2 linked regions of the Rattus norvegicus genome follow. The protein of the gene in region 1 interacts with the protein of each later gene in a pairwise test. Links are inferred from orthologs where the notes say so. Each region holds a gene or a part of one and is shown in the gene's direction. Other genes may lie near its edges.

What was found.
Region 2: the proteins of Hnrnpc (region 1) and Kpna4 interact in binary tests that used the Homo sapiens proteins (3 or more experiments, as listed by UniProt). The two-hybrid records come from large-scale screens. The link is inferred for Rattus norvegicus from reciprocal best matches to the Homo sapiens genes HNRNPC and KPNA4.

Annotation. Positions count from the first base shown.
Region 1 is NC_086033.1:27,279,596-27,284,392, reverse strand, and holds the start of Hnrnpc (heterogeneous nuclear ribonucleoprotein C), read left to right. Parts: upstream 1-1,677; 5' UTR 1,678-1,831; intron 1,832-2,415; exon of another isoform or gene 2,416-2,452; intron 2,453-4,797. UniProt on the Homo sapiens protein: Binds pre-mRNA and nucleates the assembly of 40S hnRNP particles. Interacts with poly-U tracts in the 3'-UTR or 5'-UTR of mRNA and modulates the stability and the level of translation of bound mRNA molecules. Single HNRNPC tetramers bind 230-240 nucleotides.
Region 2 is NC_086020.1:155,687,798-155,692,519, reverse strand, and holds the start of Kpna4 (importin subunit alpha-3), read left to right. Parts: upstream 1-1,768; 5' UTR 1,769-1,771; coding exon 1,772-1,840; intron 1,841-4,722. UniProt on the Homo sapiens protein: Functions in nuclear protein import as an adapter protein for nuclear receptor KPNB1. Binds specifically and directly to substrates containing either a simple or bipartite NLS motif.

The DNA of each region.
Region 1 (4,797 bases):
ATTTATTTACACATATGTTCCCTTTTTTGTATTTCTGGAGACTGATGGCCCGAAGCCATCCTGTTCTTCTTTTTTCTTCATGTCATTTTCTCCAAGTCTTTTAGAACCTGCATAGTCTTGAAAGGTCAAAACACTGCCCACGGGAAAGACACAGTCACCACCTGTGTCAGAATAAAAGTCAAGACCAGAAGTGGTTACACTATCATCGGATCTCAGCATGCTGAGGGCAGAGGTAGGAGGATCACTGTGGGATGGATGCCAGCCTGGTCTACATACAGGCTGCATAGTCTGACCCTGACTAAATAAGTAGCAAAAAAACCAAAGCGAACTTCCTGCTTGCTACTCTGGTTTGGATTCAGGTGCACCTCCCTCACCAAAGCCAACTTCTTTACAGAACTGCTTTGCCTGTGCTTAGGAGCTCTGTCAGAGGAGATCATTGCGTGTTTGTTCCTAACACCAGGGAAGTGAAAACAGAAGGAACCTGGGGTTCAATGGCCCGCAAGCCTAGCCATGAAGGGCTTCCCATTTGTCTGTCTACCTACCTACCTCTACCTAGGTACTTATATTTATTGTTTTTTCGACAGAGAGTTTCACTATACAGCCCTAGCTGTCCTGAAACTTGAGTAGACTGGCCTTGCACTAGAAATACCGCCTAGCCCAAACCTTTCTTTAAAGAAAAAAAAAATAAAATAAAATTGGGAACACATAAACTCGCTGGACTGGAACATTTAAAATAAATCCTTTGAAAATGTCAAAGGTTTAAAGGTCTAAAGAAGACCTAAAAGATTATTTTTTATTTTTAAATCAGGAAATTTCCTGGGGTACTCTTTCCCTTTCTCAGTAGGCTATATACATTTTTGGCCTGTTTAATGTTTCTACAGTGTAACCAGAGCTTTACTGGCCGAGCTGAGGGGGTTAAGTAGTATCAAGCTATTGCAGGAAGTGGGAAACTGAGGCGGCTGGCCATTGGTTTTGCAGATTGTGTGACGACTTGGGCCCAGGAAACGGGTTTATAGGGGTCTAGGCAATTGCTCTTATAGGAGAGAACTATGGAAACCAGTTGGTTTGGAGGGAGCTGTTCACTGACAAGGCCACGTCCTTCCAATAGCTTATAGAATCTGGCAATGAGAGGGGATCTGAATTTGAAAATAACTGCAGACCTGTTTAGTTTTTAACACTTCAGGCGGCCTAGGGATTACGATCCTCCCTTCTCTAAAGCTTGTTTGCACTTCCCTTTTTTTCCAAGGCCTGAGGCTAGGGCAGGCCCTTTGCACCCGCTACCAGACTCCACCCAGGCTTTCCCACCTCCGTGCCGCGGAAATGCGGTGATCTGGCCGGACCTAGGATCTCTAGGAAGCACTGATAGGACGACACGGCCGTCAGTCAGGTCCGCCGGATACCCGGATGAGAAGCTGTGCGCGATACAAAGGCGAAAATTCCACCCAGCTTTCCGTCTGGTACAGTGACCAATAACCATCCGTCAGACACTAAGTGATAGAAAGCTTAACCAATTACTAAGTAGCTTTTGTTACGCATGTGGAAATTCTCCCAATTAGCCCAACCCACCTCGTGTGATGATTGGACGGAATTGTGAGGAGCGGTAACGCTATCTAATTAGGAGCGGGAGCGAGAAAAGTCACAGCCAATAGAAACGCCTCCGGGAGCGGGGCGGGGGCTGGACTTTTGCCTCGGCGGCAGAGGAGCTCGGGGGCCATTTTGTGAAGAGACGGAGAGCGAACGGTCGTGTGGTTCCTTGCTGTTGTAGCTCCGGCTTCTCGGCGTAGACCCGCAGTAGGAGAGGCAGGCTCTTCTCTCTCTCTCCTTCCTCTTGGTAAGCGGAGAGGGCGAGGGCAGGGGAGGCCCTGGGTTGCTGGGCCCCGCGAGGGGGTTGTAGGCGAGAAAACGGCCTCGCGGCAGAAACCGAGGCCGCGTTTGTTCCTGTGCGTTGGGGATTGGGTCTAAGGCGGGAGGCAACAGGCCTCGGCCTTGGCGCAGGTTCAACCTAGTGACCTCTAGGCCACGGTGCGTACGAAAATACCCTCTTTGCGCGCTGGTGTTTAACGGCTACTTTCATTTCCTTCCCCCATTAGGATTCCAAGGGGGAGCAGGGGAGCAAGAAAGCGAAGAACGAAATGCTTGTTAATGTAATTGTAGTGAATCTCTTACTCCGTTATTGTCTTCTAAGCTAAATGTCGGGCGTGGGTGGGGGAGCGATAACATGGTGGTGTAGTACTGGAAGCTTCTAAATTCCAGGCCGGCCACATGGCATCTGAACGGCGTTTTAACAATAGATTAAGTAGTGATTACTTTTTTCTTCAAGGGATAGATGGGTAAAAGTCGGGAGTGCTTTTGGTTTGTAAAGGGAAGTGCCCAAGGTAAATTGTAATTGGAATAATTACAGCTTTTTATCTGCAGGTTACAAATCACATAAGTTAGTGGAACTTTGCTTGAGGTAGGTACTGCTGTCCTAGAGAGAAGTGAGACTTAAAAGTGGTTGACAGGACCGGACTAAATCAGTAGTAGAGAAACTAAGATATTTCTAGGCAGGTCAAGTTACTAGAATAGACTATACACAAGAAGAGACTTAGCCGGTAGGTGGTGACAGTGCACGCCAAATGCCTCCCACCACTTGGGAGGCAGAGACAGGCAGATCTCTCTGAGTTGTGGGCCAGCCTGGTCACAGAGAGAGAGTTCCAGGACAGCTCGGGCTACACAGAGAAGCCCTGTCTCAAAAAGGGGGGTGGGGTGGGAATGAGTTTTTCTTTTTAGAGGAACCTGATACCGAAATTTACAGGACATTTTCAATCTGGACTTGGGAACAATAATTAAAAGGCACAGAAATAGTTTACAGATACTCCAGTATTAATCCTACCCATCTAGAATGGAAAAAAAGCAGTTTACAGCTAGTTATGGTAGTGCAGGCCCGGAATGTTTGCATTCTGGAGGTTCAGAGACAGGAAGATCCTGAGCAAGATCCCATTGCAAGGCAGCCCAGGACTACATAGTAAAACATGTTTAAAAATTAAAGTAGTTGCTCTCTTGTAGGTGTTGAGTTCTTTTTTTTTTTTTTTTTAGATTTATTTATTCTATATAAGTACACTGTTGCTGTCTTCAGACACACCAGAAGAGGGCATCAGATCTCTTATTACTGATGGTTGTGAGCCACCATGTGGTTGCTGGGAATTGAACTCAGGACCTCTGGAAGAGCAGTCAGTGCTCTTAACCCCTGAGCCATCTCCTCCGTCCGAGTTCTTTTAAATATAGCTAGTGATAGTGCTTAGGATTCAAGATGCCCAGGATTCAATCTCCCATACTAATAAAGGGTTTTTGTGTCACATTAACTTACCTGGGAGTTATTTCATTAGATAAACTTATTATAAAATTGGTATTTCACTCTGGCACAGTTTTTAATCTCAGCACTAGGAAGGCAGGAGATCTGAATGTAGAGTAAATCTAGTAATTCTAGGACAGCCAGGGCTATACAGAAAACAATGGGTTTGATTAAGTGACAAAAATATGCTACTAATCTTAGTTTAAACTATACACACATTTTACTCTTAAGCATACTTCATGGAATGTGCATGGCCTACTCTTGTAATTTGAGCACTTGGGGGATAGAGGTAGGAAGAGTTCAAGGCCATCCTTGGTCCAGCTTGGAGTATTAAGACTGTCTAAAGAAGAACAAATGCAGACAAAGGAAAAAAAAACAGCCTCCCACATTTTTTGTTTGGTTTCTCTGTGCAATAGGCCTGGCTTTTCTGAACCCACTGTCTTGATTAGGCTGGCCTTGAACTCTGATCCACCTGCCTCCGCCTAAGTAAGAGATGGGATTAAAGGCATGTGCCTTTAAAAAGTAGATAGAGTACAGGGTTTTGCCTGGTGAACAGTGAAAACTAGGTAAGAGAAAGTATTATAAATGTCAGAAGTTATGCAAGGTTACTGGTAGTAGTTGATGTATACTTGCCATTAAGTGTTATAAATGTAGGCCAGGCTTGGTAGGCACCTTGTTCTGGTAGAACATGTGGATTTCTTGGAGTTTTGAGGCCAGACTCAAATTACATTTTTGATTTGACTTGGGAGGAAGCTGTTAAAATTGCAAGGTTTGGATCTCTCATTTGCCATGGTCAAGCCATTTTCCAAAATGGTTGGTAATGGTTACTATTTTTTCTGTAGAGTAATTATAACATGTTTGCAATTTGATCTCTAGATTTATTGGCTTGTGATCTTGTTATAAATGGGCATGGCTGTTCAAGCAAGTAAGGAATATATTCCTAAATAGTTCGTTACAGTCTTATAGATGATGAGTGGAAGTTACTAACTAGGGAAACTACAATTGAAAAATCTTGGCTGTGTAAAACTATGTAAGTATCCAGTAAATTAGACTTCTGGATTTGTTTTGAGATATAAAACAAGCTAAACTACTACTTTATATGGAAATTTTGAGTTCTCATTTAACCCTAGTCATTGCTGAAAGTAGTTGACAAAATACACAAAAAATTGTCCTACCCCACCCCCACCTCTGTTTCCTAAATTATTACTGCCTCTTATTGGTGGAGTATGCACCCCAGTACTTGGGAGGCAGGGGCAGGCAGAGTTGGAGGCTAGCTTAGCTTAAGTAGCTAGTTCCAGGGCAGCCAGTAACAAATGTTATTTTGCTATTGACTACCTTAACAAGAGTATTACTATAAATCGGTCAAGTATATTAGTATTTAGCATTATTTACTTACATTCAACTTTCATTGGAAGGGTTATGGTTTTGTATGAACTAGATTGAAGAATTGGCTGCTGGTGAAAAAT
Region 2 (4,722 bases), on another chromosome or scaffold:
TATCCTGTGGTTCTCTTTATCCCTCATTCCCGAAAGAACTTTATCCTGTCTAATCCATTGTCTTTGTATTATACTTTTAAAAAAACACCCTCCTTTGACTTTAAACGTGTTTATGAAATATTTGCACCCTAAACGTTCATTTCTGCCCAAACAAAATATGCCAGAAAGAACCAGAAGCCAAAAGTTCCCAAGGGGTTTTGTAATAGGGTCTTTTGCAAAGTTCAAACACATTTAGCTTCCTCGTTCCTTCTGACTCCGAATTGCCACTGCTTCAGAAAATCACACACATTTGAGGAACTAATATTTGGTAAATGAACACAAATTCGTTTGTTTGTTTGTTTGTTTGTTTGTTTGTTTTTAGACAGAGTATTATGATGTAGCTCAGGTTGGCCTCAAACTCATATTCACCTGCCTTTGCTAGGTTTAAAGTATGGACCACCATGCTCAGCTTAAATATAATTTTGAAAGCATTTCCTCACTCTTTTCTGAACCTCGAGCCTCCAGCATAATTAGCCCCTTCTAATGAGTTGTAGCTCTATTTTTTATCTTGACATGAATGCGGGAGAGGAGAGGGGGAGTATCACTAAACTGCTCAGAGTGGCTTTGGACTCTTGGTCTGGCTGGCCTTGCTCTTGGGATACTTCTTTAACTGCTCCTCCTCACGCCCAGTAGCTAAGATTACAAACCGCGTCACCAGTCCGGAGCTCTTCTGAAAAATTTGAGAGGCTTTTTTGTATCTGTTTTACTTCCGCCTTTGGTTACAATGTTCCTGGTTAAGAGGTATCTTTGGGATTAACTTCCTTTATCAAGAGTCACAATGTTGCATTTGCTATGTCAAGGATCATAGTCGTCATTCTCTATAAATTAATACTTTGTGATCAAGCAGTTTAATTTTCCAAGAGAAACTGGCCAAAAAGGCAATTAGTTTCTACCTGTTGCAGGAACTTGGTCAGAGGCCCCTTTCCTTTTCCTACCCGGTCCCTCTAGTTTTCCCTTCAGTTTTCTGAATGCACATCGCCCTAGCCAGTCCTAGTCCCGATGCCTAGCCCTAGGATGGTTCGCAGTTCCCTGGACAGGACTCAGGGTTTAGGACTCGGAATGGAGCTTAGACACACCTCTTTGCCTTCCAAAGTGAATGAAGCGCTCAAGTAACACCGGAGGAGAAAAGAACGAAGTTCAGAACCCCAGTACCCAAGGCTACCCGGACAATCGTACCACCATAACCAGGACCACTATACCCTCCCCAGGACCACCCTCTCCCGGGTCTGCTTCTCTTTGGCTGCCTCCGGTTTCTCCCTTGGCGCGCGGCCCCTCCCCTCCCAAGCCTCTGCGCCCCGGCCCTTTCCTGCCCCAGACTCTCCCTTCCCCTTTCCTTTCGCTCTTCCGCCCCCGCTCTCCATCGCCCCTTTTGATTGGCCAAGCACGCCGGAGCCCGGCCGGCCAATAGGCGGACCGGGTTGGCGACGATGGGCGTGGCCGCAAAGCCGGGCCCTCAGATCGAGGCTGCCTCCCCCTCTCAGCCGGCAGCACATTCCGCCGCCGTTGCCGCCGCCGGCCCCGCAGTCGTCTTCGCCAGAGCTGCTGTGGTACCCGGGCTCAGGGCAGGCGAGGGCAGCCAAGGAGCGGAGGCCGGGGAGGCCGGGCGAGAGGAAGGGAGCGGACGGGCGGGCGGCGCAGGCGGCGGCCGGCTTCCTGGGAGCGTCGGTGCGGCGCGGTGGTTGGGGCGGATCCCGCGGGGCCCGGGCGGGGGGGGAGAGTCGCCGGCCCGGCCATGGCGGACAACGAGAAATTGGACAACCAACGGCTCAAGAATTTTAAGAACAAAGGCCGCGACTTGGAGGTACAGTGGGGTCTGCGGCCTCCGGCCCCGGCGGGACGCGGGGTTCGTACGGAGTCGGGCGGGCGCGGCGGCCGGCATGGCGCTGGGCGGGCGGGCGAGCGGCCGTGACGCGGGCGCCGCGCCGGGAAGTTTGTGCCGGGCCTGCTCCGCCTCCGCCGGCGACAGCGCCCGGGCCCGCCGGGTGCGGCCTAGGCCTGTTCTGCCGAGCCGGCCAGACACGAGTGCGGGCGGCCGGAATATCGGCTGCGGCGGAGGCCCAGCAGCGGCGGAAGCTCCGGCTCTGCTCCGGCCCCGACGCCAAGCGTCGCGGGCGGAGGGCGATGGGGGAGCGAGCGGCGACCTCGTAACTTCTCAGGGCCTAAGACGCTTCCACGTTCAGGAGGTTTTTCTAATCACCCCGACTCTGGTTTTACTCCAACGTCCAAACTACAGGAGTCAACTTCTCCGCTGGAAAGAAAAAAAAAAAGCACCCCCGCCTCTCGCGGGGGTCCTGGTGATGCTAGCAGTGCCTTCCAGCGGCCTGGGTTTCACTCTGGTCCTAGCTGATTCAAGATGTAGCTCACGATGTGCCCTTTTCCAGTCAAAGGATCGCCTATCCCCAACCCCTTATTTGAGCCTGTCCACAGATCTTTTTACTCCTCTCGGAGAAGAGATCACCAGTTTGCATTCTTACATAGAAAGCCCAAAGGGTTATTCAAAGCTGTCATCCTCTAGTCTTCAGTATTCTTTCCCTCCACCTCCTGGTGGTGATGGCAGTGAGGAATCGGGTAGGCTGTGGACTGACACCATCACGTATTATTTTAAAAGGGAAAAGAAGGCTTCGTTGTCATAGACACAGCTACTTCCAAGGTTCGATGTATTAAACACACAGTTTCTTTCCATTGTGACTTTTTTTTTAAACATAGGGAATTATTTTTTAAAACACAAGGCGTTCTAAGCTTAGAGTTTAGCTTCTTATCCCCATGTGTTCTTGTAACTGATCTTCAGACTGCTGTGGTCCGTTTCTGAACTTGAGCATTTGCGGGCTAGAGATGGCAACTTTTGTTTACTTTTCCCAATGCCATTCAGTCTTTTAATGTAGTTTGCACTGTTTTAGCTTATTGCAGTAGTTAGAACTGTATGTTCCAGGGTGTGTGTTCCCAGAGCTCGTTTGACGGTTAATGAAGCTTTGTGATCATTTTTTATAGTGAAAGAAATTTTTAAAATAATTTTTTTGGATTTATTTTATGTATAGGGGTGTTTTGTCCGGATGTGTGTGTGTGCATCCATGTGTGTGCCTGGTGTCCAAGGAGGCCAGAGGACAGTGGCCCATCCCCTGGAAGTGGAGTTACAGCCAATTGTGAGCTGCTATGTGGGTGCTTAGAACTGAACCACTGAACCATTTCTTCAGCTCCCAAATTTAATATTTTTATTGGAGTAATTTATATGTAACAGAAGCCAACTTTTTAAATGTATAATTCATAGTTGTCATTAAATTTGTATGTTGAACAATGCTGATTTATTTTTACTAATAAAAATATTTAGAATGGGAAAATCACAAGTTAGGAAATATAAAACTGATAAATACTGCAAAGTTAGAAATTTCAGAAAAATATCAGGTAGCCAACCAATCTAATTCTTTTGCTTCCTATTTCTAACAGGTTCCTTGAAATGTGATTTACATGCTATACAATTCACCCAGATAAAGTGTTTGGGTTTTTTTTTTAAAGATTTATTTATTGTATGTATGAGTGCACTGTCACTGTCTTCAGACACTCCAGAAGAGGGCATCTGATTCCATTACACATGGTTGTGAGCCACCATGTGGTTGCTGGGAATTGAACTCAGGGCCTTTGGAAGAGCACAGTGCTCTTAACTGCTGACCCATCTCTCCAGTCCATAAAGTCGTTTTTAATGTGTTTAAATAGTTGCACAATCAACACCTAAGTCAAATCTCCAAATATTTACTGCTCTTTAAAGAACCCCTGATATAAGTCATTCTTTCTCAGCTACTCCAGCTCAAAACAATGTTTTGATTGCCTATTCTGAATGCTTCATGTAAATAGAATGTACATTTTATGATATGTTGTGGCTACCTGACTTGAAGGTTCATCCATACTGTAACAAGAATGTTTCTTAGGTCTGAATAATGTGCTTGCCTATAGTTATACCACATTGTGTTTATATGTGTTCATCTCTATGGAACTGTGGTTAACCCTTTTTATCAGGTATATATTACTGGTATAAGCATTTATATACACATTCTTGTGTAACATGTTTACTTCTTTTGGTTACAAACCTAGAATGCTAGATGATACTGGAACTTTACATCTAACGTTTTATAGGGTTACCAGACTTACTTTCTCCCTTTCCACCCCTCCCTCTTGTTCTTTTTTTTTTGGACAAGGTCTCATTATGTAGCTGTAGCCCAGGATAGCCTTACACTCTCAATCTTTCTCCCTTATCCTCCTAAATACTATATTTTATTGGCATTATCCCTGATTCTCCCTCCCAAGTTCTGGGATTGCATGTGCCACCCCACCCTGTTTTAAGTTTTTGTGACTACCTGACAAATACACAAACACAAACACAAACACATACACACGATATTACCCTTACTATGTATTTCTTGCCACTACAGACTAATAAATACTGAATCTACCTGGCTACTATGATAGGTGACTTAAAGTTAGGTATAAATGCATATTAGACATATTTTGATATTATGTCGGTAGCCACTATCTAATGACTGGATCCATGTATGTGCATTAGAAATTAGAATATTTTCATTTTTCTACCTATAAATATGATGTGACTAAAAATTATTTCTGTGACTTACTCAAGATCACATAAGTGGGTGTTGTTCACTTGTAAATCATAGTATGTACAATGCCTTGGGTTTG